4 linked regions of the Drosophila melanogaster genome follow. The protein of the gene in region 2 interacts with the protein of the main gene of each other region in a pairwise test. Each region holds a gene or a part of one and is shown on either strand. Other genes may lie near its edges.

Evidence for each region.
Region 1: the proteins of CG5172 (region 2) and ATPsynCF6L interact in a two-hybrid assay, tested with the Drosophila melanogaster proteins (one large-scale study listed by BioGRID).
Region 3: the proteins of CG5172 (region 2) and hoka interact in a two-hybrid assay, tested with the Drosophila melanogaster proteins (one large-scale study listed by BioGRID).
Region 4: the proteins of CG5172 (region 2) and Fst interact in a two-hybrid assay, tested with the Drosophila melanogaster proteins (one large-scale study listed by BioGRID).

The regions. Positions count from the first base shown.
Region 1 is NT_037436.4:5,009,005-5,016,281, forward strand, and holds ATPsynCF6L (ATP synthase, coupling factor 6-like), read right to left. Parts: upstream 3,130-7,277; 5' UTR 3,092-3,129; coding exon 2,796-3,091; intron 2,741-2,795; coding exon 2,593-2,740; 3' UTR 2,440-2,592; downstream 1-2,439.
Region 2 is NC_004354.4:17,217,303-17,225,045, forward strand, and holds CG5172 (uncharacterized protein), read left to right. Parts: upstream 1-4,139; 5' UTR 4,140-4,244; coding exon 4,245-4,470; intron 4,471-4,823; coding exon 4,824-4,907; intron 4,908-4,976; coding exon 4,977-5,185; 3' UTR 5,186-5,200; coding exon of another isoform or gene 5,201-5,244; 3' UTR 5,245-5,349; downstream 5,350-7,743. Other genes in the region: CG12998 (uncharacterized protein), read left to right, coding at 1,679-2,020; CG34327 (uncharacterized protein), read right to left, coding at 5,822-6,484.
Region 3 is NT_037436.4:4,895,432-4,903,781, forward strand, and holds hoka (hoka), read left to right. Parts: upstream 1-3,468; 5' UTR 3,469-3,565; coding exon 3,566-3,611; intron 3,612-4,845; coding exon 4,846-4,929; intron 4,930-4,983; coding exon 4,984-5,264; 3' UTR 5,265-5,438; downstream 5,439-8,350. Other genes in the region: CG13705 (uncharacterized protein), read left to right, coding at 1,485-1,487, 1,559-2,854.
Region 4 is NT_033777.3:9,641,762-9,649,494, reverse strand, and holds Fst (frost), read left to right. Parts: upstream 1-3,340; 5' UTR 3,341-3,367; coding exon 3,368-4,228; 3' UTR 4,229-4,517; downstream 4,518-7,733. Other genes in the region: Dh44 (diuretic hormone 44), read right to left, coding at 1-512, 2,354-2,476, 5,797-6,003.

The sequences.
Region 1 (7,277 bases), on a different chromosome or scaffold from region 2:
CTGTGTATCCCGTATATCCTGTGTTAGTGCGTATGTGTTCAAGTGGCACGTGTCCTGCACACACTCACATACCAAACCATATACACACATAGATATCCACCTGGACCCACTTTGTCATCAGGTTGAATTAGGACTATTCAATTTTCATTATTAAATAATGCCCAGGCATTGATGCGTACGTGCGGCTCGGCAAAATTAAATGCACATCGGAATTTATGGGTCTCGGACAAAATGACAAATAGTGCGTGGCTGATCCGCACAAGACACACAAGGTAAAAGTGTAATTAAATTTGTCCAAAATTCGAATGCACATCCTGGGCGAGGCGAAGAAGCCATAAATCTGGGCACATAAAACCCAAGCGCCGCCCCGGCTCACAGCGATAAATCACAACGAAATTCACATAATTTTTATCGTTTTGCACAATTTTGCATGTGCTCACTTACTACATACATAAATCTATATGTATGGAGCGAGCCTCCTTTCGCATCGGTTTTCAAGTTAAACGTTTCAATAAAGTCGAGCACCTGTCAATAAATCGAAATTGCCTCTCGTATTATTTTTATCGGCTACGTTTCGTTTACATTGCACAAGATGCTTCACTTTTCTCACAGCCAGCGGCCAGATATATATATATATATATCCACATATATTTTTGAGCCACAGACATGTGTCTGTGTGTGGTTCAGAAAAGCGGGAAAGCGACCTTAGATATCTCTCACCGCCTCGTCATCGCCATCATCTTCTTCCAGTTGAGCGGATCCGGTGGGTGAAGTCCCAAGTCCTTCTGTGGTTTCCAGTTCTCCTGGTTTCTCCTTAACTTCCCAACTTCTCTTATTTCTTGGGCGGTCGAGTTCGCAGTTTAATTCAGTTTTCGGCAATCGAATTGCGGACAGTTTTCATGGCTTTAATTACGGCTCGTCCGCCTTTGAAGTCATATTCCTTGAAGCTTTAATCTTAATCCACTTGCGCTTAAAAGCGGCCGAGCACAATTTTTACGAGCGCCTGTGCTTTATGAAAATTTAATAAGCCGGCAACGAGGAGAGTGCGCATAATGAGAGTGGCGGCCTGGTCCCGAAAAATCGGGACATGCCAGGACAGCCAGCAACCAGCCAGCATCCAGCCACCGCATCTCATTCGAATCAGAATCTGACTCTCCGGATGAACCAACCAACCAACCACCGCCCACACATGTCATGTAAAAAGACTGTTTAACAAGCAGAGCCAAGAAGGAGCAGCTTAAAAATGAAATGCGTTTCTCGTTTTCACATGGCTGCCATCGAATAGGTCACAGTGGTTGAAAATGTCAAGGAATGAGCGGATATGAGAAGAAAAAAGTTATGATAAAAAATATATGCATATAATTAAATAAAACAGTTTTTCTTGTAATAATTTAGATTTACCAAAGATTGGAAATATGATATTATTAAACGCTGCTCCTTTGTGATTAGAGATTATTAAATATTTTAATTTTATTTTAATTGAACTACTTAGAAGCCATTTAAATGTATAAAACCTCAGGTTTAATACAAGAATATTACCTTGTTTTAGGCAAAAAGATAAAGTTGGGAACTCAGACCACTGTCTTTGTTTCAACCTTGTGCAAGACGTTGCTCTCGTTGTACCGAGCCAACAAACAAGCGAAATATTATTTACGAGCTGTCAAATCCCAGTTAACATGCCTTACACAAGGACCAAGGACGTCTTCGGTGTGTTGGTGTAGTTGTTTGCTCGATGCGGGCGCATAGTTCGCTAAGAGACAGCTGAAGATGCGCTGCCACAGTTACAGGACACAGAGCTACAGATACAGATTAACAGCAACGGTACCAGAGATATAGACACAGATACAACGGGTATAGATACAACCGCACTGCCAGACACTCGTATGGCATTCAGAAAGTGTGCCAGGACGTCTGGACCGTAGTCAAATGCCGGATCCTTGGATCTTTGGATCCTTGAGGCCGACTGTAGCGGAGCGGCATAATAAAATAAAAAAGCATAAATGAAAGCGAGGCCAGGCCACGAAAATAATTTAAATTTATGTACTTGTGCGTATTTATTTGTGCGTTTGGCTTGTATTTCCTTCGCGACGTCTCTTGATTTGTTTTTCTCGCTCCCACGCTCGTCCTTTACACGCTGCCTCCTCTCGCTTGCCATCGTTTTATCAAGAGCAACAGCAGAAAGCATTAAATTCAATTTGCTTGTGTGAGTATCTGTGTGTCTGCCACTCAGCGTCAGTTACACGGAAAAAATGGAAGTGGGTGGGATGGGGCGTGCGGGAGCGCCAAAGGACGAAGGACCAAGGGGAGGGACAAGGCCATGCGAATGGCGGCGACCTGTTGTGTTGTTTAAGGAATTACTTAACATGGTAAAAGCATGGTGTGTGTGAGTGCTGCTTATGCATGTATGTGCTTAATAAAAATTTCGGTGCGTTCTTTTTTCGGCTCTATCCTGGAACAGCTACAAACGGGTAGCTCGAATCTGCAGGCATTTAAATTCATTTTCTTTTAACATAAACATTTTATAATTTTTAAAGTATTAAGAATTGTGCGAAAATTTTAACAACATTTAAAACGATTATTTTTAGTGATGATCTACTTTATCTTGTCCTTTTCATCCTTGCCCTTTGGTTCGTCAGCTTTCTTGCCATCTTTGGCTTTCACTTCTTTTTCCCCACCCTTTTCTTTGGCCTTTACTTCTTTATCTCTATTCTTTTTCTCAGGCTTTGGTTGGTTCTCTGGTCTAAGTAAATATTTATATTTTTATAAAAACTTTTTCCAATTTAACTGTAACTTACAGATCATCAACCGAAATGGGATCAATATCAATATCGGGCAACTTGAATTTCGGAAACTCGAGCATATCCACGCCCTCGCCGCCGCCGTATTGCAGAGCCAGGCGCTCAGTGACTTCCTTCAGCTCCGCCTCGAATTCCGGACCAGGATCTACGGGCTTTCCCTTGGGACTCTTCAGCCGATACTCGCGCACCTTGTCCAGGAAAATCTGATAAATGGGATCCTTGTAGCGAAGGGATGCGGTATTGCTCACACTCCTACATAAAACTAGGCTTGGTTTTAGGAAACGGCTAAACATTTTTTTGTTAGTTTTGTTCTCTGCTGACACGATACTGTTTCTATGCGATAAAATATGATTCTGAGATATCTTACTCAAGGGTAATTTGATTTCAAAATTAAAATAAAATCATTGTCTTCAGAACAGGTAAGCCATCTTTTTTTAAGATTTGAATTTATATTTTTAAACGTTTTATATCTTTTATTTTGAGTATTTTTTGCGTTTATCAAACCCCGCATTTTGGGCTAACGCATCTGAAGTGCTTCCCTGCTCCAGGACGAATTTTTACGCACCGTTGCTGCCCGTTCTCCTTTATTCCCGAGCGTGTAAGATTTTCTCTCTGTCTGACTCGTCGTATCTGCGAATGTCTGTGTGTGAGTGGGCTTGACAATGCGAGTGCCATCTCGACAAGTTTTTCTCAAAAAGTGAGACAAGTGGAAATCCGTTAAAGAAATACGTGAAACACATAAAGGCGATGATGTTGCTGCCGTCAACTTGCTGTTGCTGTTGCTTATGTGCACGCAGCAAGATACATAAATATATGCGCGTGTGTGGACAAAGAAATGTCGGCGGCAGCAAATAAAAATTAATTGAAAAATGTTTATCAAGGACTTTGCAGGGGAAAAATTTAAATGCACAGAGCAGAAAAGAGCTGAAAAGAGAACTGAGCCGTCGGACAAACTCTGATAATTGATGGGAAGACATGGCTGTGAAAATTATAATTAATATAAATTTCCATTCACCTTTTTTCCCCTCCCGCACCATCGCTGACAGTGCAAATAAATGGATCATTGTCGAGTGCGAAATGAGGAATGTGTAGCTTCTAAACCGGGCTTAATCGGCCATCGCCACATGCGGCTCATTTCAAATGCAGCCAGCACTCATGCTGCGTTTCGCATCCGCCACTCGAATTAAAATATACGAACATATAGTACGTACATATTGTGTGCAAAATATCCACACCGAACTAAAAATTATGCAACGCATTAAAAATTTAACAAGCGCTTATCCGCTTAGTGCAACGCCCGCAACACGAGGGGTTTTTGTACGCCAACGTCACTTTCAATATTTAAATTTTGACATTTTCTGCATTTGACGCCGCCATGTAGTGGAACGAGGTGTGGGGGGGGGAGGGGGGAGCGCTGCGCGGGACATGGACAATATTGCATCAATGCAAATTGGGCAGAAATAATATGCAAACATTGGCACAAACAGAATGGCAACCTAATTGGCAGCAATAACAAACTTCCCACGCATCTGACATTCCAATGAAGAGGGTTGGCTGTCGTCCTACGTGTTTTGAATCGATCAAGTTTCTAATACAAATACTAATATAAGTTTTTGTCAAAAAAACTGAGTTGAACTATAAATATTAAGAGGTTTTTTATCTGTGTTTAAAATATTGAAACTTGTTTTATCAACATACTTGCGATCCTATTTCTATTAGTATTTTTGTTCGGTGCACCAATAGTTTAAGCGTTCATTGGCGAAAACAAGAAGACGTGAAACGGTTATTGCCTGCTGGTGGCATATATCAGGTCTTTTTTGTCTGGTGCCGAGCGCATGTATCTCAATCTTCATTCCGACTACTACACAGAGCTAAGGATTAAGCAGTTGTGCGGCTGCCACGCCCCCGCCATTAAAGTAGTTTCCCCTAACTTGGTTAGAATTAATATTTAGCTGAGCGCAACTTTATTTGCAGTTGGCAAATGCTTTAACCTCCCCCGCCGACAACAAAGTGAGCAAAGTATCCTGCGGTTGCCTGCCGCTCCTTGAACGTGTATATGTATCTGTGCATCTGTGTATCTGTGTATCTGTGTATCTGTGCATCTGTGTGCCAGTCTATCCACGTAACTGTGTGGGTGTTCGTACATGATGTGGCTGTGTGTGCGTGTTTTAAAATGCAACAGATGCGCCAAATTAATGCGACCATTAAATTGTATTAGCGTGTGCAAAATGTAAAGCGCATTTGCCAGCAGATTGCTTCAGCCAAGTGCGAGTGTATCCGAGTCCCGGGGTTCTGTGTGGGATTGTGAATGCATCCCGCTATCACCGCAGTCTCTGTGCGTTGTATTCGCTGCAAATTTGTGTGTGAATAAACATGAGAGTCGTTGCATTAATGCGCATACAAAAGCCAACTGAGTCGAGTCCTTGCCGGCGTAACAGCTATCCCTGCGTAGGAACAAGGATTTAAATATCACCGAGAGCGAAGGGGGTTGCGGGATGCGATGCTGGGGGATTGAGAGCTGCTCAATGCTAAAATATCACACAGCAGCAGCATCAAGTTTATGTGGCATGCCACAAAGTACACACAGATACAATTACACAGGCACCGAGCGATATACAAAACTGCATTTGCCGCTTTTTGCCCGTGTGTGCGCTTTTCGCCGAGCTCTCTCATAAGTGCAACTTCAACGCGGCGGCAAATAAAAATGATAAATACGTTTTTTAACTAGAGGATAAAGAAAGGGGGAAAAAATTAAATTTTAATATCGTTTACCTCATTGTAACCTATATCATAGAGCTGTGTATATTAAAAAAAAAAGCTGCAAATATGGAAATGTCTGTAGAAAGATTCTTTTTTGCAATCAAGAAACATGAGTGCAACTGTATTGTTTTAAACCACAAATGTTTTCAAAAAAATACAATAATTTTAAATGATATTACAAATGATTTTGTATTATATGTTAAATTCGCGTTTTATATATTCCTGCAAGTTATTTAAGTTACTATATATTCAATGAATTTCGAATATTTTTCCAAAATGATTTCTTTATTTTATCATTAAGGCTTACAGGCACTCTTCCATTTTCTTTAGTGCATCTCAAAGGATGCCAACTATCCGGCGGACGGGAGTAGAGTGCTGGTTGCGGATATTTATTCATTAGCCATTTGGCATAATTTGTTGTCTCGCTTTGGGCGCTCTGTTTCGTCCTGGTAAAATTGCCAGCAACAATGGAGCAGTTCCGATTGGAAGAGGGTGGTGTTGGGGTGGTGGTTACCACTAATAGGCTTCTAATTGGGCAGTCGCCGCCTTTTTGTTTGCCCTACTATTCTTTCTTTTTTTCGATGTGCGCTATTACTCGCTGTTTCGGTATTCCAATTAAAATGCATCTGGTGGTGATGTATCTGCACCCTGCCGCCGGCAGTTGCAAGTAATTTTAGCCACATATTGCCAAAGTGCCGCAAATAGAAGCAGCCGTGCTACAGTTGCCCTTAAGCTGCACGCAGAGCTCATTAGAGCGAACCAAATCTGTGCTTAGAAGGGGGTGCCATTGGGTGGTCTTTGTTGCAATGGAGCACGGAGTCCGGGAATACGGGATATGGGGTATTAGATCCATTAACAGTCTGTACCTGCTTGATTATACATTTCGGCCTGCCCGGAGGATGCTGCCGCTGCTGCAGCTGCCGTTGATTTGGATTTTCGGCTGGCTGATGCGATTAAACAAAACTCACTAATGGAGCTTACCTCACCGATTCGGCGGCCAAAAAATGAGCGGATATCGCGTGCACAGGGAAAAAAGTTGGGTTCGTAGTCAGAATCCGCTGTTTATGAGCAGGTAGTCTAAATTCTTCTTCAAACACATTTAGAAATGGAAAAAAAATTATTTTTTCGTTATCTTACAAAATTTAATGTTATAATGAATTTTATATTGATCAATCAGGAAATTTGTAACAAAACTAAAGCTACTTGGTGGCTTTTAGATAGAGCATGCAAGTTGGAATATTTCTTAGGTCAGCTGAATTCTGTAATTCAAAGAAATTTTTTTGAGTATAAATATATTTCGTGCATGGTTTCACTAAGGGATTGAAGTCGTGTTTATGCCCCACGCCTGTTGCGGTCATAATTGTATTAATGAACACATGCCCTGCCCGACCCCCAGCCACCGAAGCCAAACAGGCGGATTGTATCTCACGGATGCCGAGATATGGCGAACAAAGCACTGTGCACATATATTTGCATAGGAATATTAATGCCATAATTATTTGCCACATGGACACAATGCACAAGATGAATGCAATATTTAGCATGTCAGTTAGTGCCCGAGTGTGTGCGTGTATGGGTGTGTATCTGTGTGACCCCTCTGTAGCGACCGCTGTAATTCCAATTGCATTTTGGCAATTCAAGCAGCTCGGATGGCTGTGAAATATTTCGGCTTCACTTGCCAACTGATGCATTGTTGCTACTGCTGTTTTGGGGTTTGGC
Region 2 (7,743 bases):
CCTACATATGTGATAACGAAGGATAATGGTAAAAGGCATAAGCATACTTAAATAAATATGAATAAACCAACCCATATTGCTTAGTCTTAAATTATTTGCTTTAAATCGTTCAACAATTTTAATTTAGCACTACAAAGATGGTAATCACTAATAGTTACATTGTGTGGAATGCATTATCTTATATTATCCGCTTAATAGAACAGGGTTCATTTTAAAAGTGTTCACACATGTACTGTAATAATTGATTCCTATTTCGGCGCGTGGACAAGGTAATAATGTACGAACACATTATTGTCACAAATTACTAGGTAAATTATAATACTCCGTGGAAGAAAACCGAAAGATAAATAACTTGTGGAAAAGAGGCCGCGGTGTCGCCATTGCCCCAAGCTCATGATTGTTGACTGTTGACTGGAGTTGTTTTATTTTTTGTTGGCCATTATCCGAGTGGCGCCCAGGTACAGTGGGAAAATTGCACTGTCAGTGCAATTGGATGTCATCTGGTTTGTGTTTGTGTCCAGATGAGTTTTATAGCGATCTGAGGTCAGCCGCCTTAGTTGGTGAATGTTGTCGGGGAAGTGATGATTTCATCTCTCGCTAATATCGATGATACATGGAATTCTAGAGCACTTTAATGGCCTAGATGTCCTAGATGGAATTGCATATCTATAGCTGAAAAGTTAACTACCGACCTCAATGGCAGCCTATGATCTAGAAACTTGTTGTTTATAGCCCAAGTTATAATTTAAATACACATATCAACCATCACGTAGACATTGAATGTGGTTTTGTTCGGGGCTTTCCCTTGTCCTTCGGCTGACTGTCAGGATCAGGAAATGTCATCGCCAAAATCCAGTTATTTTTTTTTTTTTTGCCCCCTTCACTTGGGATCTGCATCTGCATCGGCATCTCCATCTCCATCTCCGTCTTCATAACTATCTGCAAGTGTCTCCGTTTGCGGCTTAAGCTGCCAGTTTGACAAATGACTCACCTGACGCCAACTTCTCGGTTTCAGCTTAAGCTTAAAGCTAGACTGCACAAAACACTGTTTAAAATACCGATAATTTAGAGATATTTCTCTAGAAGCCTTGCTAGGTTAGCTTTAAGAGCGTGATGACACTATAGTCTGGATGATATACATAACATTTATCAAATTTCACGCACACCTTTATTACTTTATATTCAACCCTTATTCCAAACGTCTAGTTATTTCTCGCAGTGCAGGCTCTGCTGCAGTTTCCGCCAGCAGCGAGGCGAGGAAATGATCCATCAAGCGTGTGAGTTATGTACGAATTTTGCAACTTTGCCACATGGTTGGCTGACTTGGCTTGATGGCTACCCAGTTGTGGCTTCTGCCTCTGCTTGTAAAGCAGACCCAGTTGACCCTGGTCAAGAATCGGACGCTCAAAGTGGTTTAATAAACTGCAATTACCCGACCTGGCCGGGCCGGGCCTGGCCTGGCCCAGCCACCCGCCACTGGAGATTTATTTTGTGGATTCTCGTCCAGATTAGTCTGGGCCACGCAGTTTGCAGTTCGCCAGTTATTTTTGCGATAAATAGCGAGTGGTGATCCAGTGGTTACAGCATTCGAGTGCCACACTTCGAGACGCACAGCAAAACAAACCAGGATCTACTCTCCGAGTCAGGACTAAAAGCTTAAAATCCCAAACCACACATAATGAAGGTATTCATTGTACTCTGCGCACTGGTGGCCTGTGTTTCGGCCGGATTGGTCCGATCCTCGGGCTGGGGATCGAATCCTTGGGGCGGCAGCAGCTCCGGATGGAATAGTGGCTGGGTTGCCCAGCAGCCGCAAGTCATCAAGGTCATAAAGATCGGAGGAGGCGGCGGCTCCGGATGGGGCGGAAACTCTGGATGGGGCGGTAACTCCGGATGGGGTAGCAACTCCGGATGGGGCGGCAACTCCGGATGGGGTGGAAACTCTGGTTGGAGCAGCGGCAACTCCGGATGGAACAGCAATGGATGGTCCAGTTCCAGCTCCAATAGTGGATGGTGGTAAAGAATCGAAGAGCTACCATCTCTAGGAGACGAAAAATCCAAGCACAATCCCAATCCCGATCCCCTCTCTCCGCACCTGGTTCACAATCCACCCGATTTTATAACATAGTTTTTAAGTACCATTTTTTTTTGTGTAACAAATAAATAAATGAATAAATCAAAGGCATAAAGTTAACATTTTTATGATGCATCATCTTTAAATTATGGATCGTTAGCAATTAACATTCTAAGCCTGGGAGCCGACTATATATCTGACTGAGCAGTTATTAATATTTTATGCATCGCGCAAATGATTGTGGAACAGCGTCTTGGTGGCCAAGGTGGTGATGCGATTGGAGTTCAGCGGAGATCATCATCATCATTTGGAGGTGGAGGCACTGTGGTTACACTTTTAGGTTTATGAAAATATAAATGTCAAGTATATTTGCGAATCGATTTATTATTAAAACGAAGCATAAAATTTAATTTTCGGGACTTAATTAAATGATTTATTTAATTCAGCTTTTGGTTATTTGACCTTTATAATATGAAATGAAAAAAATTATCGTTACATTCTAAAATCACTATAAAGTAAACTTTCTTAAGAAAGAAAATCAAGCATAGATAAAATTGTATTTTTTTATACATTAATCAAAGCCACAGAGAACTTCCCTTATTTCAACAACAAACGGTTTCATATAAAAATGAAGGCCGGATTTTATAATCTTTGACGGAACGACATGTTTTATATATATTTATATTTTTTAATGAAAATGTAAAATACCAGCTTGTTAGTGTCTTCTTATGAACCTTAATTATTGTAACGGAATATTTAAAAAATATAAGACAAGGATTGAAATTAATTGTAACTTTGTATAATATTTTGTCTATAATAATTCATTTTACTGGTTATTGGTATCAATTATATGCATTTGTAGCTTACTTTGCCAGTTTCCAACTTAAAATTGTACACTGTACAGACAATTTTCCTAAGCTCGGTGGTTTTGGCTCTGGGTTAAGCCCCCAACTAAACAAATGTTGTTTGCGCATATCTGCAGCACGCGTTGGGAGCCAAGAAAAGCAATATGTTCACATTCACGGTGGAGTTGATGAAATTTATGGTAAGTAATGCACTTGAGCGATGCAGCCAGCCATGTTTGCACGCCAATTGACATTGAACCAGTGTCTGCGGAGTCGTGTCTCCTCCATTTGGCGATTCAATTGCGGCTGCTGTATAAATGAAGATTAATCGCCGCATACATTGCATGGCTGTAGTGAGAAACGAAGCCGAAATTAAACATAAGTACGAAATGAAAATTATATTAACATTTTTCCTTTTTAACAGCACCGTTTTAATGCTCTGCGAAAATTCAAATTGGTCGATTTAAATATCCATAAAAATGTTTGAAGTAGTAAACAATATGATTAAATATTCAAATAAGTAACGTCTTAAATTACCGACAAGCTATAAACAATATATCGTGTATTGAAGGTTTAAGCTCTATTTATGCAAAAACCTATTAAAATATGTTTGCATTGAATAAACAAATAAAATACGGGAGTAAGCCTAGTATACATTAAATACATTCGTAAGAATAGTTAATATATACCAACGATTCCCAACGATTCTCTACAGCGTCGGTAAATTTGTTCCATTAATTCCAAACTTTACTTAAACCTGCCAAGCGGCAAGACTGAAAATAATAATTAAGAAAATTCAACAACAAATTGAATGGATGGCGCAAAATGAAAAAGGCAAATATTCTTAGAATTTCGCATAGAAATAGTAAACTTGTAAGACAAATTGCTAGGCGTTTCGTGGCCAAATGTGCTATGTGCGCTGGCAATTAATGATGCAGCCATGGCTCAGCAGTTTGCAAGTGGTGCGGTGGCGTATACGCGATGTTCCCAGACAGCGCACATTGCGTATCCGCCGAGTGCGCCGACGTACTTGAGACTTTTTTAAACCAGACAAGTTGCTGGTGAAGCCAGCCGCTTGCCGCATTGTGCCGACATGAAGTGCAGTTCTTAACCTTCCTTTGGGAGCTCCAGCTTGGAGTTGAAGGGATGGCAGGCTGCTGACTCAGCCGAAGTTTCCGCCTTTCGGAGCTATAAAAAGGTGCCTCGATTCTGGGTTAGTTCATCAGTAATATTGAGCCTCCAGCAGTGATTACACAGCGGTTCTAAGTCGGTCTAACAATCTTTTTTTTTACTATATTTTTTTGAGTGACTAAAGAGTTCTAAGGATGCGTCACGCTGTGATCCTTGTTTTCGTGTGTTGCCTGCTGATCGCCTTAACCTCAGCCGGTTTGCTGGGCGGTGGAGGCGGTGGTGGTGGCTACGGCGGTGGTGGTGGTGGTGGCTACGGCGGTGGTGGTGGTGGTCAGAGCGGCTACGGCGGCGGTGGCCAAAAGAACGGAGGAGGCGGCCATGGAGGTGGCGGCCAGGGAAGCTACGGAGGCGGTAGCCAAGGCAAGTGAATATATTTGGGATATGCCTATAGTTAATACTAACTATAATCCGATATTACTTCTATGCCTAATTTGATTTAATAACTTAATAATGAAATGGATTTTGTTATAATATACTTTATTGGTTCTAAAAAACTCATTTTACAAAAACGTTTTATGGTATGTAAATAGTTAAAATGCTTTCAGCATACAAATGTTTGGTCAAAACATTTAGAAAATATGTACATAATAAATATTTGAGTAATTTATAACCTCATTTAAAAAATTGTCAGCTAATATTTAAAATGTATAATTTACCGATGTTAGGGTTAAGGCTTACGATATCTGTAATATTTATATACACTTGCCTTCTAGGTGGACATGGAGGCGGTGGCCAAGGAGGTTGGCAGAAGAACGGAGGAGGTGGTGGACAAGGAGGCTATGGAGGTGGCAATCAAGGTAAATATTAAGTTCAATTAGTTTAATCCAAGATTACAATGCTTTTCTTAACCTGTATATTCATTTCAGGTGGCCACGGAGGACAAGGAGGTTATGGCGGCGGCGGTCATGGAGGCGGTGGCCATGCAAGCAAGTCCTTGGCCGGCAATCGCGGTAGTTCCGTGTCCTGGCAGGGCGGAAATGGAGGCAACAAGAACGGAGGCGGCGGAGGAGGTGGTGGTGGCCTGTACGGTGGTGGTGGCGGTGGAGGTGGCAAACAACATGGCGGTGGCTGGTAATCAAACCACCAGGAGCAGCTAATCCACCGTCTGATGCTGACTTGTGTTCCATGGCATAGAGATAGAGACAATCCCTAGATTCTTCTATTTTTCTTCTATCGAAAGCCCAATTTTTCCTGCTTTTAATGTTTTTTATACTAATAAATCTTGTTTATGCATTTTGTAATTATATTTGTTTTTCTATGGGGCACATTACATTATCTACTACATTATCGGGGAAGTAAAATTATATGAAAAATTATAATCTGTTGCAAAAATTGTATCATTTTCACCAAAGAAATAAAAATAGTTAATTTAGATGCAAAAATTAAAAAAGTTGGCGGCAATGGCAAATAATATACGCCCAAAATATATTTACTATACATACTAGCTCTTTACATTTTCAAACAAAAATTTTCCCTTAATTTTCTTGATTCATTTTTTAAATTATAAATAATTGAATAAACTCACCCATAAAAATAAAAACGTGGGATAAAATTACTTTCTTGTAAGATTTATTCACATAGTTAGATACACAAAAAAAAAAAATGGTTAATTTAAGGGCAGAATTATTATGTACAGGTTGAGCAGTGGATAGTGGTGTCGCCTCGTCGCCGATTTTTCTCGGATGGATGCCGTTTTCTTTCCAGGATCTGATTACCAGCTCCAGCCGCTGCCTCCGCCTCCTCCGGGGGACCAACCACCGCCACCTCCACCAGAGGACCAACCGCTGCTAATCTTGCTGGGCCAAGCGGAGGACCCTCCGGAGGACCAACCACCAGATCCACCGCCGCTCTTCCAGCCGCCGCCTGAGGAACCACCAGATGACCAGCCACCTCCACCGCCGCCGCTTTTCCAACCGCTGCTTAAGCTTCCCAAAGCTTGGGATTTCCAACTGGAGAGACTGGACAGTGCACTGGATAATCCCGAGCTGCCTCCTGACTTCCAGCCAGAGCTGCCGGAACTTGGCCAGCCGGAGGATCCACCGGAGGACCAGCCACCTGAGCCGCCGCCGCTCTTCCAGCCACTTGAGCCGCCGCCGCTCTTCCAGCCACCTCCTGATCCACCAGATGACCAGCCGCCTCCGCCGTCACCACCGCTCTTCCATCCTCCAGATCCGCCACCTGAGGACCAACCTCCTCCGCCGCTGGAAGGCCAAGCACTGATAATGACCTTACTGCCACCTGATCCTCCAGAGGACCAGCCTCCACCACCGCCGCCACTGCTCCAGCCATGTGGTTTGCCCTGGGCGACTATGCAGCCCAGCACCACCAGCAGACCGAGAAGGCCAAGTCGTCGCGTTGTAATCGTGGTTTGCATCTCCGCAGCTGCCGTGCACTAACTAATGCCCCACTGCAGCCACTCTCGACTATTTATACCCATCCAAGATTCTGAGCCACAGCTTCGCCACAGCCGCTGCCTCGTATAATCAGATGTAATTGCCAAAACTGCCAGCGACCAGCTTACAATGGCCAGTGCTTGGGCGCTTCGGGGTGGCTCCGAGTGGTTCAAAGTGGGCCAGAGTGGCTCGGGTGGTGGCTCAACTCACCTCAGTACTCGGGCCTCATTATGCCGGCATCAACTTTCGGTTTCGTACGCTTTGTGGGCCCACGTAGGTCGGCTGTTTTGTGCCCAGCAAACGCCCCCAGATGGAGCACCTGATTTACTTTACTATATAGATGACACTCTGTAACAATGGATTCATTACCTCAGGATAATGGATACGATCAGCTCATGAAAACAGTGGGAAAATGTCAGGTGTTATGAATGCAAATTGAAGAGCTGTGTGGGCATTTAGGTGAAGCTCACTTAAATATATATTAAAAAAAAACGGGTTGTTTAAAATTACAAAAGGACTTTTTTAAGCAAGTCTTTATAATAAGGTAAATATATTTTATTCAATTATTCAAAAATTATACTTATTAAAATCATTTTATAAATTTCAGCCCAAGGCATACTTTTATTTTGCAGTCTAGTGTAGCCCAGTAGCCGATACCGCATCATGATCGCCGATCTAATGGCTCTCCATTTTTATGTAGCAACCGCAAAGTACTTAATTGAGTTCGCCCGCCGGCGGTTGGATGGATACTATAGATATAGGTGCCAGGGATTGATCTGACGATCGGTTCTTTATGTCTGCCCATTATTCAGAATGGCGATGGCGATACAGATGGAATTGGTAATGGAATCGGTATAGAAATTGGCACTGCAGACGGCAGGTGGAGGAGGTGTGCCATGGAATTGGAAATGGAGATCGAGGCAGCTGCGTGTTTGTCTTTTTGGCTACCGTGCTACCGTGCGGTTGCACATAATTCGTGCTGTCTTGAAAATCGGGTCACCGCAAATCAATCAATCAATCGGAGACTTGGGCCCAATTGTTCCGCTGCAACTTATGAGTTGGCACAGAACCCATCACAGGAGATTGACGGGTCTCGAAAGTAGGTGTCTCACACCACGATGAGCTATATCATTATTTTAAAAATGCGGATCATTGCTATAGATTATTCAATTTTATCACAGACATAATTCTAAACAAGAATAGAAACCGAAATGTATATACATTTGGCTAGAATATTTTT
Region 3 (8,350 bases), on a different chromosome or scaffold from region 2:
GTCCAGGAAGCCCGCAAGCGCACCGTCCTGTTTGTTTTTTTGGGACCCCTCCTCCTTCCGTATTTCCGTATTCACCTGGGGCAATGTGGCAAGTTGGAGGGGCAGTGTCATTTTGATGATGATGATGCTGATTGCCAGATATAAATTAAATATGCACAGTAGTAGTATACAGCCTGGCTGGATATATTTTTTATGTGCGCCATTTACAAATGAATAAACGAAAGCCTAAAGCCCCACGAAGCGCTGTGTGAATATATTTGAAATTAAGACCGTTTTTTTCCCCGATTTGAGATGGCCAGGAAATAAAGTTAATGAAAGAAAGATATCGGTGTTTCGTGCGCAGTTTAAATTCGAATTACGAAGAATTTACACACAACACAAGGCTCAACAGGATGTAATACACGAATCATTTAACGTTAACCAATTGAACACGTTTCAGCATTATAAAAAGCACATTCCATTCTATTCTTATAACCCATCTACATATCAAACGCTTTTCGACAGACAGCCCCGCACTCGACACTCCCGCCAAGCCAATGCCATTGGCATCGTCAAGTGGTGCTCCATCATACATTCCCATCGCCAGAATGAATTCCTATTCCTCCGAACTATCGAACACGCTGTGAGTGGGAGATTGCCAAGCCATTTCAGCTTATCCGCAAGATTTATGGCTTGCCTGCCGCTCAATTGGAGCATCTACGCTATTTCGGCTTAAAAATATAAATTAAAAATTGGAAAAGTGGCGATCTCTTAAATCATTCATCTATTTATAGCCGCCTAATGGAGCGTGGCGAGCAAAAACCAAAAATAGCAACACTCGATGGACCATCAAGCGCGTATCAATCGAGATGGCGTATAAATACTTTCGGCCGATCTTGGCCTTAAGCGCTCATCGAGATCCGAGAGGCAAGAGCATCCAAAAATACATTGAAAAGCGGCGACTTCCGCTTGCAATTACCAATGGTAATGGATTGTCACAAATGTATCCGATCTATTCAAGCATATGGCAGACATAAATCGATGCAAATAATCGAGACAATCGAAGAGCCCTCGACCATTGTTCCATCTGCCTACGAATCTACAAATCTAAAATATCTACAAATCTGCGGACTTCGCCGGCTCGTCTTTGTTTACTTTCGTTTTGTCTTCTGGCAGCTGGCCGCGCTAATCATCTTATATGGCCAGCCAGAGTTCAATTGGTGCTTGAGACACTTTTTGACAATAGCAACTAGACAATCCAAATCTGAGTTCGGCCCCAGTAGAAGAAGCCATCGATCGATGCGGTAGTTCGCCGCTTGTTAACCGGTTTGCTCAGCGATCATCATAGCTCATCTCAGTTCATCTGATCTCGCAAAGTGAATGGACATCGGTCAGCCGAGAACTTTTCGCGCAGTTTGTGTATAAATAGTGTCGTTGGGTCTGGTTTGAAAACAGAATCAACTTTGGATTAATCTAGCAGACATCGTCTTGGATCTTCTGGAAAAATGGTTAGTTCTCCAGCAGTCATCCTGCGACCAGGACTAACCCATAACCCTCTCCTTCGCTTATTGCCTTGCAGAAATTCTTTGTCATTGCCTTTGCTGTGATCGCAGCTGCCTCGGCGGCCTCCATTGCCACGGATTACCTGCCGCCAGTGGACAACAACCTGGAATCTGCCTCCGAACTCGTGGAGGTGCCCGCCGAGCAGGGAGTTCTCTCCGACGATGGATACCGCTACAAGACCGTGCGCCGCCTGAAGTTGCGCCACCGTCGTGATGTGAACGAGCTCCCCTCCGGTGAATACCTGCCCCCTGTTGAGGAATCCGCCTCCGAAGCCGTTGCCGTCGAGACTCCTCTGGCTGATGATGGCTACCGTTACAAGACCGTCCGCCGTGTGATCCGTCGTCGTCGTGATGTCTCCGAACTCTCCCCTGAGTACCTGCCCCCTGTTGAGGAGTCCGCCTCCGAGGCTGTTGCTGTCGAGACTCCCCTGGCTGATGATGGCTACCGCTACAAGACTGTCCGCCGTGTGATCCGTCGTCGTCGTGATGTCTCCGAACTCTCCCCTGAGTACCTGCCCCCTGTTGAGGAGTCCGCCTCCGAGGCTGTTGCCGTCGAGACTCCCCTGGCTGATGATGGCTACCGCTACAAGACTGTCCGCCGTGTGATCCGTCGTCGTCGTGATGTTTCCGAGCTGTCCCCTGAATACCTGCCCCCTGTTGAGGAGTCCGCCTCTGAGGCTGTTGCTGTGGACACCCCTCTTGCTGATGATGGTTACCGTTACAAGACCGTCCGCCGTGTGATCCGTCGTCGTCGTGATGTCAATGAGCTTCCTTCCGGCGAGTACCTGCCCCCCGTTGAGGAGTCTGCCTCCGAGGCTGTTGCTGTTGAGACCCCTCTGGCTGCTGATGGATACCGCTACAAGACTGTCCGTCGTGTGATCCGTCGCCGTCGTGATGTAAACGAGCTGTCCGCCGAATACCTGCCCCCTGTTGAGGAATCCGCCTCCGAAGCCGTTGCCGTCGAGACTCCTCTGGCTGATGATGGATACCGCTACAAGACCGTGCGTCGTGTGATCCGTCGTCGTCGTGATGTCTCCGAGCTGTCCCCTGAATACCTGCCCCCTGTTGAGGAGTCCGCCTCCGAGGCTGTTGCTGTGGAGACTCCCCTGGCTGATGATGGATACCGCTACAAGACCGTGCGTCGTGTGATCCGTCGCCGCCGTGATGTCTCTGAGCTGCCTTCCGGCGAGTACCTGCCCCCCGTGGAGGAGACCGCCTCTGCCATCATTGATGTGCCCGCCGAGCAGACCGTCCTGGCCAGCGATGGCTACCGCTACAAGACCGTCCGTCGTCTGAAGCTCCGTCGCCACTAAGCCGCCGATTGCGCCAACTCCCACCGCAGCATTTGAGATTTTCGAGGATGTTTTTCCAGAAGAAGTCCTGACTTTGACAGTCTCAGATTGAAACTAACAATAAGTCGAGCGTATTAGTCAATTTGAATCCACTATGAACAACCCGAGTACAAACCCGAACTTACAATAATAAACATTTTTAAAACAAATATCCTACAACTACTATATCTTTTTGCAGAATATTTTTAAATATTCGAACTATCTTTTAAACAATATGCCTAGGATTGGGATAAAGCTTATAAAGTCGAAGGAGTTGGTGAAAAGATTTTATAAAAATATTTTTTAAAATGGGCAATAAATAAAGAAGACTCTTATTGTCCTTCGATAGTACAGATATAAAATATTGTGTAAGGACTTGAACTCAACGAATTTTGCATATTGAACATGTTAGGCTTAGAAATATAGGAGACATTTTAGATTGAACATAAATGAAACTATTTTTTTCAGTGCTGATGACCTCAGAAGTAATATATAGCGGGAGAAAAGAGAGCCTTCTAATCTTATCAATGAAAGATAAGGTGCTTTGAGATAAGATACTAGCACCTGCCGACGAATGCAATCACGCACAGGTTTTTAGTTCCACTTTGGAGTCGACGACGTGCGCGTTACAAACTTGGCTAACAGCTAAAAGCGAACATAAGTTTTTCGAAAGAACCGACGAAAACGACGGAAATGAAGTTGGCTAAGAAGTGCTCCACCTACTTGGTGATATGCCTGGGTAAAGTTCTGCATGCTCGTTCGAATCTGCCGAGTTTTGAGTGCCAACTAGAGATACGCAGCACACCGGCGAGATACTTTTTGGTGCATGTGTGTGGGCGGAGTATTGTGCATGTGTGAGACTTTAACGCATTATGATGCACTGATGCATCCGTATGATTCCATAGGTGTGGGGTTTTAATAACCCAACTTCAGCAATTGGAGACTCTAACGATGAGTAACTGGGCCAAGTGTGCGTCACACAATCAGGCACAAGAAAACTCTACAAAAATGTGTGCTTATCAGTGCGATTCAGATAAGCACTGTGTTTACTCATTGTTGCCCCATCACTTGGTGTGCTTAACTTTAGGGCGTGGTGAATCAGTGAGTTCAGAGGGAAATCTTTTTGGATTGAAAGGTATCCCAAATAAAACATATAATTTAGCTGGCAGTGAGTAAATGCGAAATCATTTCCTTTGATTTCATGCAATTTTTATTAGGCCAAAAGTCCAATGCCCTAAAACCGGAAGTGGCATAATTATTGCGCATATAAATTATGAAATATGTTAGACAAAAAAGTGAATGAAAACAATTAATATTGGTTAGCGGTTGGCCAACGAAAATCGGTCGCACTCTTAGCCACATACATTTGGCGGATGGGTTTTGTCAAATGCCTGTCTCCATGAATCACCGACTAATCGAATCGAGGAAAAATCTATACACTTTCCATATCGACAAACAAATCCATTTAATATTTCATACGCAAAATATGCCGAATGAGCTGAACGAACACACACATAAAATATTATTAATTAAAAATACATTTTGATAATTTTACGTGAAATCGAATCTGACATCCGCAATGGAACAATGGGGAAGGAATATGCCAGCTCACATTTATCATCGAAGAAGTTGGCGCGCGCGCGCTATTTTGGCTCAATCAGAATCAGCGTTTTTTGTTGATTTTGGCCCGGCTCTGTTGTTAAACATTTTCTCAACGATTAATTGTTAATATCTTAACAAGTCTTCGCGCATTTGAAGATCTATATGATGAATGGTCTTGCTGTTATTTCAATGAGTTCCGTTTGGCTTGGGTTTGATGGATGCTTCAAAGCCAATGCCGCAATCTTACCAGGCCACCTTCGACCACACGCCGCGTGATCATTGAAAAAATGTGTATGATGTGTGTTTTGCGCCTCGGACGAATCACTATGTCTAACAAATATTAAATTTGTATATTCTTTTCTATTCTGTAGTACTGTTGGCCTGCTGCCTGCAAGAATCGGAGGCCACGCGACGTGTGAACCGCGGACGACGCACCCTTACCCGCAGATACTTCAGTAAGTGATGCCGTATACGTGATCGATATTGCTCAACATTGTTATTTCTTGCAGCTGGCCTTGCTATTCCCGGATGGGCTCTCATCGTTTGTGTAGCGGTAGGTGAGCTGCTGATTGGTGGAGCCCTCTACTTCATCCTCAAGAAGGTGATCCTGGACAAGGAACCAGATCAGACGGCGGCCTCCTACACGCCCGCCCAGACTCATGCGACGGCCACACCTTATACTCCCGCCCAGACTCACGATCCGGCCACGGCCACAACCTATACTCCTGCCCAGACTCATGAGACGGCCAATGTGACTCCCACTCCAACGCATGCCACCGCTATTGTCTGAGGAGATGTGTACAGATCCAAGTGACCACTTTTGGTTCATAACCCTTTCCAAATCAGTTCAAATTCCACCATTAACTAGCTTTATTGTCATTTAATCGACACACAAATAGAACCTGTGCCCTTTGTCTACCTTCATTTTCGAATAAAATTATTTGCCACTTATCTGGCGCCAAACTAGCTTCACATTTGTACGGTTAAACGGTTTTTAAGACGATACACGCTGGCTTTTAACATTTTATTGCACCGGCTAAGCGGCCCAATATCCGCCCAAGACCGATCCAGTTTGTCTACTCATTGTCTGCACCACACGCAACGCTAATTTATATCTAATTAAATCAAACTGGTTTTGAGTTTTGGATTTTTCATAGCCCATGCTGGGGATGAAGATTAATTAGATGAATAGATTTGTAAGCAAATTAATGCCTACTTTTGGGGCTGCGGAAATACTAGCTATTTTCAAGCTACACCCAATATAAAATATCAAAGGGTGTACGGATTATGAGCGGAGTCACCCGGTGCTTCAGCTGTCTTAACAGCGGATTAACATTTTATATATCGATGCTAATTGAACTGAACTGTATTCTTTCTTTCTCCATTGTAATTTTGCGGTCATAGCGATCAGACGTGATTTTTGTATATGAAGAAATAAATGAAGTTAAATAGTGTATATATGATTCTTATTTGCGAACCCCATTACAATGATGTCAAAGCAGTGAGGCATCACAACTATTCATTGGTGGCCCATGAGGGGAACCTTGCTCATAAGAATCATAATTAATAATTGCTAAAAGCTGTTTGGCAATTTTATCTTCGTGGTCGGCTTCATCCAGATAAATCACCGTGCCTACGTTTTCTATCGCGCTCGCTCTCATCACGACAGAGCAGTATACGCAAACGTTCGCGCTCGCTCTCATCACGACAGAGCTAAGTCCCGTTGCCCTTCGATTCCGTTAGATTTGCCGGAATCTCTGCCAACTCAAAAAACAAGACGTCAAAGAAGAACACCGATAACATACGAGCATTTGTGCATATTACATACAGTGGAGCAACGTCAGTATAAACAATGTCGAAATTTGATCAACTGGTGCGAGTTCAAACTGACCGCATTGAGTCTTTGAAGCGCTTGTTCAGTAATGTGAAAAAAGACTCGAGTGCGCGGAAAACGGAAATATATTTCGAAAAACGTTTGAATCAAATCGACGAGTTTAACAAAGAATTTCATCAGGCGCATCACACACTTATATGCATGGCAGACTACGAAGAAAGTGTGTATAAGCAACAAAATACAATCAGCCAATTCGAAGACCTGGGCATGGAAGTTTACTGTTTCGTGGCCGAAGAAAAGAAACGAATTTATCCAGGCACAGTGACGCACAACGAATCAGCTAACTCTACAATAACAACACATGTAGAGGAAGTACGGATACCACTGCCAAAATTACCAGTTCCGAAATTCTCTGGCAACTGCGCGGACTGGCCAAGTTTTCATGATGCATTTTTACGCTTAATTCACAATAATGAGCGTCTGGATAAGATTCAAAGGTTCCATTTTTTAAAGGAAGCATTACCAGTAGGCCTGGACAACGACATTCGCCAAATCGCTTTAACTGAAGCAAACTATGAAGTCGCTTGGACCACACTTCTACAACGATATAACAACCCACGAATTGTGTTCGCCAGCCACATGAACATGCTCTACAACTTACCGAATCTTTCGAAAGAAAAATCTGCTGACATACGGTCTATGGTTAGTACAGTCAACGTCTGCATTGCCGCTTGCAATACCGTCAAGGCGCCACTACAGGGAGGAGATTTTTGGTTGACTCATTATCTAACAACCAAACTACCCAAAGACACTCACACAGCTTGGGAGCATCATCTGGGCAGCAAGATTGACGTTCCTTCATACAAAGATCTGCAACAGTTCCTCAATGATCGACTTGTTACGTTAGACGCTATTGAAAGCCGTAACGCGTGCAGCGGCATGAAACAGTCAAATGAAACTTCAGACGGTACTAAACGCGTGCGTGTGCACAGCGCCCACACCAGGTCGGGTGCTTCCGCGTCCGCTTGCTATCATTGTGGCAACTTACACATACTTCGAAGATGTCCGCAATTTCTTTCAATGGATTGCTACCAACGGAAGGAAGTGGCCAGCAAGGCAAAATTGTGTCTCAATTGCCTGGGAAAATCGCACACACAAGCAAGCTGCCCCAGCAACAAGAATTGTCTTCATTGTGGTCAACGTCATCACACGATGTTACATTTTCCAGCAACACAGCCAACGCTGATACCCTCCTCGACATCATGCCAAAGTTCAGCAGCCAGTTCAGATGCCAAGCCGACTCTACAGTGCATGTCAACTACAACTTCATCTATGACTCATCGAAAGGTACTACTAGCAACAGCTCGGGTTGTACTCAGTAACACACAGACAGGATGCCAGGCCACGGTAAACGCGCTTCTTGACCAAGGATCGGAAGCAACTATCATTTCGGAGCATGCTGTACAGTCTCTCCAGCTCTCCCGAAGCACAACTCGCACTTCAATCACCGGAGTCGGTCAAGATTCAGGACGACGCTGCAAATTCATCGTAAGTTGTTCGGTGCAAACAGCAACTAACCCAAATTTCTCGTTAAAGGTCGACGATGCTTATGTTTTGAACACGTTGACATCACACATGCCAAGTCAAAGTTTTCCAGCAGGAAACTGGAGTCATATCCATGGTCTCACGCTCGCAGACCCCTATTATTATAGATCCAAGCGAATCGATATCATTTTTGGAGCCGACCTTATGGCACAACTCTTGTTGCCTGGAACTAAGATTGGCTTGCCAAACGAACCCATAGCGCAGAATACTCAACTCGGATGGGTTCTGTTAGGCAATGTTGGCAACACGCATATTACACGCCACATTCGATGTAATCATGCCATAATAAACTCCGAAGAGCTGCTTAAGGTATTTTGCGAGGTAGAATCAGTTCCAGAACGCCCAAAGCTCTCCAAAGAAGATCAATGGTGCGAGTCTTTCTTTAAGCAGACCCATCAACGTCAACCAGACGGCAGTTATCAAGTCCGTTTGCCATT
Region 4 (7,733 bases), on a different chromosome or scaffold from region 2:
TCCACATATCTCGCCGGGTTTTTACTGGCCCCATTGCCATCGTCGTTCTCATGATTCGTTTCGTTGGCTTCATTTCCGCTGACCCGATGCCTGGCCAGACTCATTCCGGCCACGTCCAGTGGTTTCTTCGCATAGCTGAGCAACTGCAACTGCTTTGGGAGTGCCTGGGATTGTGGTCCAGTCGATGCTGATTGCTGGGAGTCCGCAAACTGTAACTGTGACGACTCCTTGTACGGCGACAGGGCCCATCCGTAGCTCCACAGTTGGCTGGGGAAATGCTTCCACGGCAGCAGCTGTTGACGGTCCAGCTGCTCCTCACGAACTGCATCCCTTTCCCTTTCCCTCTCCCTCTGCCTTTCCCGCTCCAGTTCCCGCTCCACTGGCCACTGCTGGCGGTAGCGCCTGCTCACCTTGGGAGCCAATCCTCCTGCTCCCGATCCTCCGCCTCCTCCTCCTCCTCGCAGCACGACCCTCTTGCCCACGTTCTTCAGGATGGCGCGATTCAGTTCGACCTGGACACAAGAAAGGTAACACGGTTCACATAAAGTTAAGTAAAGTAAAATGCTGTTAACTGCTGTAAAATGGTTGACAAATTGAAATGGAAGTGGGGTAAGCCCGGTTCTCCCTTATCCCCATGGATTTTCCATGTACTTTTCCCGGCAAAGGGAAAGCTAAACTAGATTGACATGCATGATGGATGACCACATTCAATTTGGATCACAAATCAAATGCCAGTGCGTTATTACATTAATCGAGGATGAGGTATGTGGCACGATTACATTTTAAGCACTTTAAGATACTTTAGGAGCAGCTTTAGTTGCTAAACTGAAAAGCCACCAGATACTTTGCCTAATTACTTTATAGTTACTTTAAGTCTCAGGTGCTTGTATAAAACATACTTTAATATTTAAAGCCAAGATGATTAATCGTTGGAAATGTATTTATACCTTTTCCTATCTTTTAACTTAATACTCGGTTTAGCTTAAATCCAATTTAAGTGTAAATGCCAACTTGCAGTTTTCACACCTTGGAAATTCCATTCTTCTAGTGCTTTGGATATTTATTTAAATTTCTTTCTGTTTGCCAACCACTTTGCAGGTCTTTTAAAGAGTCAGGTGTTTGCATTGAGCTGGGGATTCAATGTCTAACTCGTAAGTTCGGGTGACATTGCATTTTTCCCTTTATATTTTTGGCCATGTGAAAGTCTATTTTCATCTGCTGGGAATAGTGCACAAACCGAAACGTGATCTATTCCTTTAAGCTGTGAATAAGTATGTCGATTCATTTTGTTTGCATTCAAATTCAAGTGGTGAATGCTATTTCAGATATCTAGCTCCATCCTAACTTTTAAATACACGTTTCTAAATGTAACTTTCCTTTAATTGTGTGGTATTAAATTTGACAGCTTGCCGTTGAAAACCTCATTTTGTTTCTTTGAAATTTCACTTTAATTTCACTCCATTTTATTTCCCTTTTATTTGCCAGTCTAACCCAGGTGTTTTCCGAAAACATTATGCCTGCTGAAGCTCATCTTTCTCCGATTCGGATTGCTTTCGGGATGCATGGATTAATTTATGAAACCCCTTTGACAAATCAATAATGTTATCTGGCGTATGTGAATAGGTAGGTGGGCATGCGGATAGGCACATCCATGGATGAACATGACCCTCTTTAACGGAAATTCGTGGGAGGAAAGGTGAAGCTATCAAGGCAAATCGTTTGAATTCCTCGTATTAAAACGTTTGATTTTTTTTGTTTTTAACATTTTCGTTGGCCTTTTTGTCTTTGTGTGTGCGCCTTTGGGGGATCGGAACGTTTTGGTAACCAAATAAACTCGCTTTGTTACCGAGCAAAAATATTTGCGTTACACATACGCCATGTTGGCTTTGTTTTTGGCACTGAGCCGCATGCATATACGTATGTATATTTTTGGGTGTCAGGGCCATCCGATGTGCTTAAGCCTCGATTTCGGGTTCGCCAGGATGTTGTTTACATTCCAGGAGCAAGTAGGTGTGTGGGCTGCACAGAGTCTTACCATTTGGGTCCTTTGGAAATTTATTAGATTCGCTAGCTGCGATGAATTAAAAAACTTTCTGCACCTGCGTTTTATGCGTTTTTATGGCTTTCGAAAAGTATTTCTCATCAGGCATTCTAGTTTTGATTAGCCCGCTACATTTTCATTTATACCTTGCAACGCGACCTACTTTCATTCCCCTTAAGACGCGGCATTGTTCTCCGTTTGTCTGGGCCATACGAAGCCAAAGTTTTGTTTTACCCTCCTTTGCAGCTTATTAAAAATACTTGGCCAAGTGGTCAGCCATCCCCGTTTAATATTGCAGAACACGAGACTGACCTGGCGGGAGTTCTCCTTCATTTGCCTGCGTGCGATTTCCAGGAGCAGACGCTGGCGCAGCACATCCAGCGGATTGACAATGGACAGCGATGGTTTGTTCCTCTTGGCCAGCAGAAAGTCATCCTAGAACGAAATACATACATATTTAGTACGTTAGATTCGCTGTTTGGCTGGAAGAAGTTTCCCAGCGCATGGCATAATAAAATCCTGACGAGGTAATGCAAAAAGTTTTAAGTCCCTGTGTTTATATACAGTTCTGTGCTCGAAGTTTATTCTTTTTTTGTTTTGTTTGTTGATGGAAATTAAAATTATTATTAGCATCGATGGTGAGCAATCTTAAGGGCCTCGGCTATCGCATATTTTTTATATCACCTTTTGTTTTTCCCACAATTCGGGAAATTATCGTTACACAAAATCTTGCAAGCTTATCGGTGTGTTGTTCTACGTTTTTTCCACGATGATCAATTGGGAATTTCGTGATAACAGCTCTTCACTGATAAGTGTGAAAACTTCAAGCTAATTCATGACTCACACGTAGCCACAAAATAAAATTCAAAAACAATTACCTTGGGGGGGCGGTTAAAAAACACCTGATACTATCACTTTACGATCCGCCCAACAACGCATATCGCAATTTCTTTACACCACATGAAAAAGGGGATTTGGATTTTGCTTGATCATAAAGAAATTACCCGAAATTTATACAGAGTCTGGACAGGTGCTTCTTTGGAAAAATTTAAATATTATCTTTTATTTGTTGGTGTTCCTTCCAAGAAGTATTTACGTATCCTAAGTTCAGGGCAAACAGTAAACAACCAATCCGAATTCATGTTCAGATAAATATGATAATTACGATTATTGTTGGTCTGACTATCAGACAGGTTACCTGCGATTAGATAAGAATGTGGCAGTGTGAGGTCGAAATGTCTGGCAGTGAATGGAAGTGGTTATCAGCTTTCTATAAAAGCTATGTCCATCTGCAGAACCCGGTAGTATAATCGAAACAATAGCGAAATGAAGGTCCTAACTCTTATCCTCTTCACTGCCTTGGTGGCAGTGGCTTCTGGCCGCCCCAATGGCGGTTGGTTCGGAAATTTTGGCAGCAACTGGGCCAGGAGGTTCGGTTGGGGCTCCGGTGACGATGAAATCGTGCAGGAACAGAGGTGGAATAGCCAAAATCAGTGGAATCCAAATGGCAACGGTCAGGGTCAGTGGGATGGCGAAAATGGTCAGGGACAATCTCACGGAAACAATCAAGGCCTCGGCCAAGGAAACGGACACGGAAACAACCATCATGGTCATCATGGCAACAGTCATGGTCATGGTAATGGTCAAGGCCACGGTGGACAGCGCCCTCCTCCACCACCACCAACGGATCTGCCTGAGTTGACCACCGAGGATGATGTGGTATCCACCACGGATGTTACCAGTCCCGCGGAGGAGACCACTCTGGCACCCGAGGTTCCAGAAGAATCTACCAGTCAGGCACCAGAGGAAATCACCACCGGCTCTGAAGAAGGCAGCGGTTCCTCGGAGGACACCACCACCCTGGCCCCTGAAGTTCCGGAGGAATCCACCACTCAGGCACCGGAGGAAAGCACCACCGACTCTGAGGATGGTAGCGGTTCTGAGGATACCACTCAGGCTCCGGAAGAAACCACCACCGAGGAGCCTGAAGAATCCACCAGCGAGGCTCCCGAAGAATCCTCCAGCGAGGCGCCCGAAGAATCCACCACAGAGGAGCCCGAAGAATCGACAACCGAGGCGCCTGTAGAATCCACAAGTGAGGCACCCGAAGAATCGACGACCGAGGCTCCCGAAGAATCCACAAGTGAGGCGCCGGAAGAATCCACTATCGATTCTTCAGCGGTCTAGGAAGTTAGTTTCATTGTTACCAAGGTTTCTGGTTCATTTTCTCAATAATCGTTTAAAATTTGGCGTTTCCGAGTAACAAGGTTATTAAACAAAGCGTTATAAAACGAAATATGGTGCAAATATTAAACTGTTATAGCTAAATTATTAACATGTTCTCCCAGAAGAGCGTAAAACCATTTCTAGGGTTAGGATTGAAGCCTCATGAACCCACATCGTGTTATTATGTCACGCACTCGCCATTTAGTTTTATAGCTCCAACAATCTGAACAATTAAAACAACCGAAAAATGAAAAAATCCCAAGTCACGTTTACTTATATGACATTACTCAAAACTTTAAGGTTCTAAACGCATTATAATGCTTATCACTTAATTGAACTTTCGCTTTCCGAACCATGAACATTGGCTTTTTAAGCGTTGCGAGCCGATGATAAACTGATTGATTGACGTACATACATCAATCAATGAATCGCTACTTGACTGATTAGTTGGCCAATCGACCCTTATCGAAACATACATATGTATGTACACATGCCCATTTGTTCGAAAGAACATATGTTTGTGCCCAACGATGTGTCATTTATGGTGGTACAAATGGAAAATTTCGTAATTGGCCTTTAACGTCGCCTCGGGGTTGTATTTTTAATTCTGCCCCCATCATAAAACATCATTTCATTTCTTTCAGTAAATAAAATTAAATTGTTTACGTGTCCTTCGCATTTACGTGCTTAAATCTCCAATTTGGCAAACGAACTTGCCTCGCACTCCAATTCCAGCGAATAAAGAATACAGAATAAAGAATCAACTTAACAAAATTCGAACTTCTTAAAAAGCAGTGGTAAAACTTTTGATTGTGGACAACAGGAGTTGGCCAAGACAAACAGCATGTTTGGTTTTCTTTTTTTCTTCCTTGACGTAAATTTCCATTTGTTTTTTAAAACATAAAAAACCCATAGACTCAAATCAATTTTGTTGCCATGTTCGTGTGCGTTTGGGAATTTATACGATCTTTTTGTTCGACCGAAGAAGTTTTACATTGAGGTATTCGAATTGGTCAAGTGCCTAGATTAGATTGTGGCCAAAATTCAGATCGAGGTACCAATAATGTGGTATTGATTTCGAGGAAATCGGAGAATGAAGATTTGCCACTACTATAAAATGCCTAATGTACTTCCCATGTATGGATAACTCTTGATAAGAGCTTAATCTTTTAGCAATTTAATATATCCGCGCTAAATAAACTGCGTATGAGATATTTTTCAATCTATTTGGTTTTAAAGGGTTGTGCGGAACCCTTTGCGGTCACATTTTCTGGCTTCTTGTAAAAGTTAACGCATTGTGGCGAACAATGTGTCAATTTATGAACCGAGTGAATGGAACCAATGAAGGTTGTCAAAGGAGCGATGAAATCGCCCGTTTGCGAACTGCCGAGCCAATAATTGAATATGCATTCGGAAAACATTCAAACAAGTGACGCAAAAACTGCTGTCACTCACTCACAAAGGGAGACAGCCAGAAAGAAATGCACACCAATGGCCAGGACTATGCCCATGCCCATGCCCATGCCCACCTGTGAGTTCCGTGTTCCATCCGGGTAGTCCAGAGGATATCCGTTTGTGCGGCCGCTTCCGCCGACCTCCGCTCCACCCGCTGCCGCTCCCGATCCTCCTGCAGCTCCTCCTGCTCCAACTGCTCCTCTTTGGGCCGTGCAGACGAGCCTTGTGGCACACAGTAAAGTTAATAACACCGGACAAAACCACGCTGTGGCTTTCATCATTCTGCAAAAAAGGAGGAGAAAAAAAAACGCACAGTTGCATGGGTCAGTGCACAATTCATAGATATGCATGTAACGCCAACAGTTTCAGCATAAAAAAATAAATAAAAATCTATCAAAATGAATGAAGAACGTGAGTATTAGTGTATATATCATATCAACCAACTCTGCTAAAACTATGCATATTTATTTACAGTACTATAGGTTATAGGGTATGCAAAGTACCATACGCTATGCAAATTTGATCTGTTCATTTGCGTGGAAAATTAAGCTCATCTGTGGCTATTATTTTTTGAATATTTTCCGAGCCACTGTCTTGTGCAAACTTTGACCTCCGCCGTTTTCCCACTGGAATAGAGTGAAAATAAAATGCTGACAGCTAACCTGTGAAAAATGCGAAATATTCTGACAACAAGAAGTGCTCTCATATTTTATGGGTCACGTAAATATGTGGTACTTCTGAATGTGGCAGTGTAGTTCTTTATGTACTTCCGAGTATGCACCTATATATTTACATATGTATGTATATCAATCCCATGTCCCTCTGGACTCTTCAATCAGTTGGCAACTGGAGTCGGGGGCAATTTGCACGAGGTGCACAGAGGAAATTAGGTTCTAAATTGAAGACGGCGACGAGTAAACGGCAGCACAACTAGATTATTTTCCTGTTGCACAGCTAAAGTTACCAGGGGAAAAGTTATTTCCAAAAAGAGGAAAAGGTGCTTAACTTGGAAAGAAAAAGTTCAAAGATACTTTAGGCACATAACAGCCCATGAAGATACTCTACTAGAGTATCATGTATCTATTAGATTGTTTCATTTTCTTAGCCGCAGACAAATAGGTGATTTTTCAAAGTCTAAAGTAATCCCTGGAAGAGCATTCACCAATTAATTCAACATAAACGAACGTTTTTTTTACTTTTGATCTATAAACAAACCCGTGTAAATGCATAATTAAATGAAAACCCTTTGGCGCTTTCAGGAGTTTTTTTTTTTTTTGTCCTCCTTTCAGTTTCTCCCATATTTATTTAACATATTTTTCTTTCCCCTGGTTTTCCATCATAATCCTTTCATGAGGTCACTTTTAATTGCGTAGAACAACTGAAAGTTTCACTTTGGTTTTCCCACACCGACGCAATGTAAAGCAACCATTGTTCTCAAAATGAAAGTTCCCTAATCCAAGTAACTTTGTGTAGCTAACAAAATTAAGTAACAATTGCCACAACAAGGAAAACTTCTTGCAATTTAGTGTGTGCGTACGTAAAAGTTTGAACTGCCATAACTCAAATTTCTGCATTACACAAAATTAGGTTTAACATTCCTAAATAATTTATAATCCCAAGAGCGATGGCAGCTCTAAAGTTAAACACAAATTGGCAATTTTTAAAAAGAAACCAATTTCATTACAAACTCTGTGCAAGTGAAATTTACACATGAGTTTTCGGCAACTCATCAGCAACTCAAAGTTGCACTATGAAAACCTCCCCATTTTGGGAATTAAGTCGGCTCCTTTGTTTTCGGTGAGGGGGAACGGGACATACAGCTCATATAGCACCTGTCATCGGGAGCATTAGACATCGCAGATAACTAAGTGCTCGAATGGCAGCCGCATTAGTCCATGCCGGCAATCACATGTCATATGGATGCCATTCGGCGAACGGGGATTTACGAATCCGCATCTGAATCCGGTGGAAATCCGTGGGTGTGTGGGTTGCTGGCACTTTCGGCAAACGA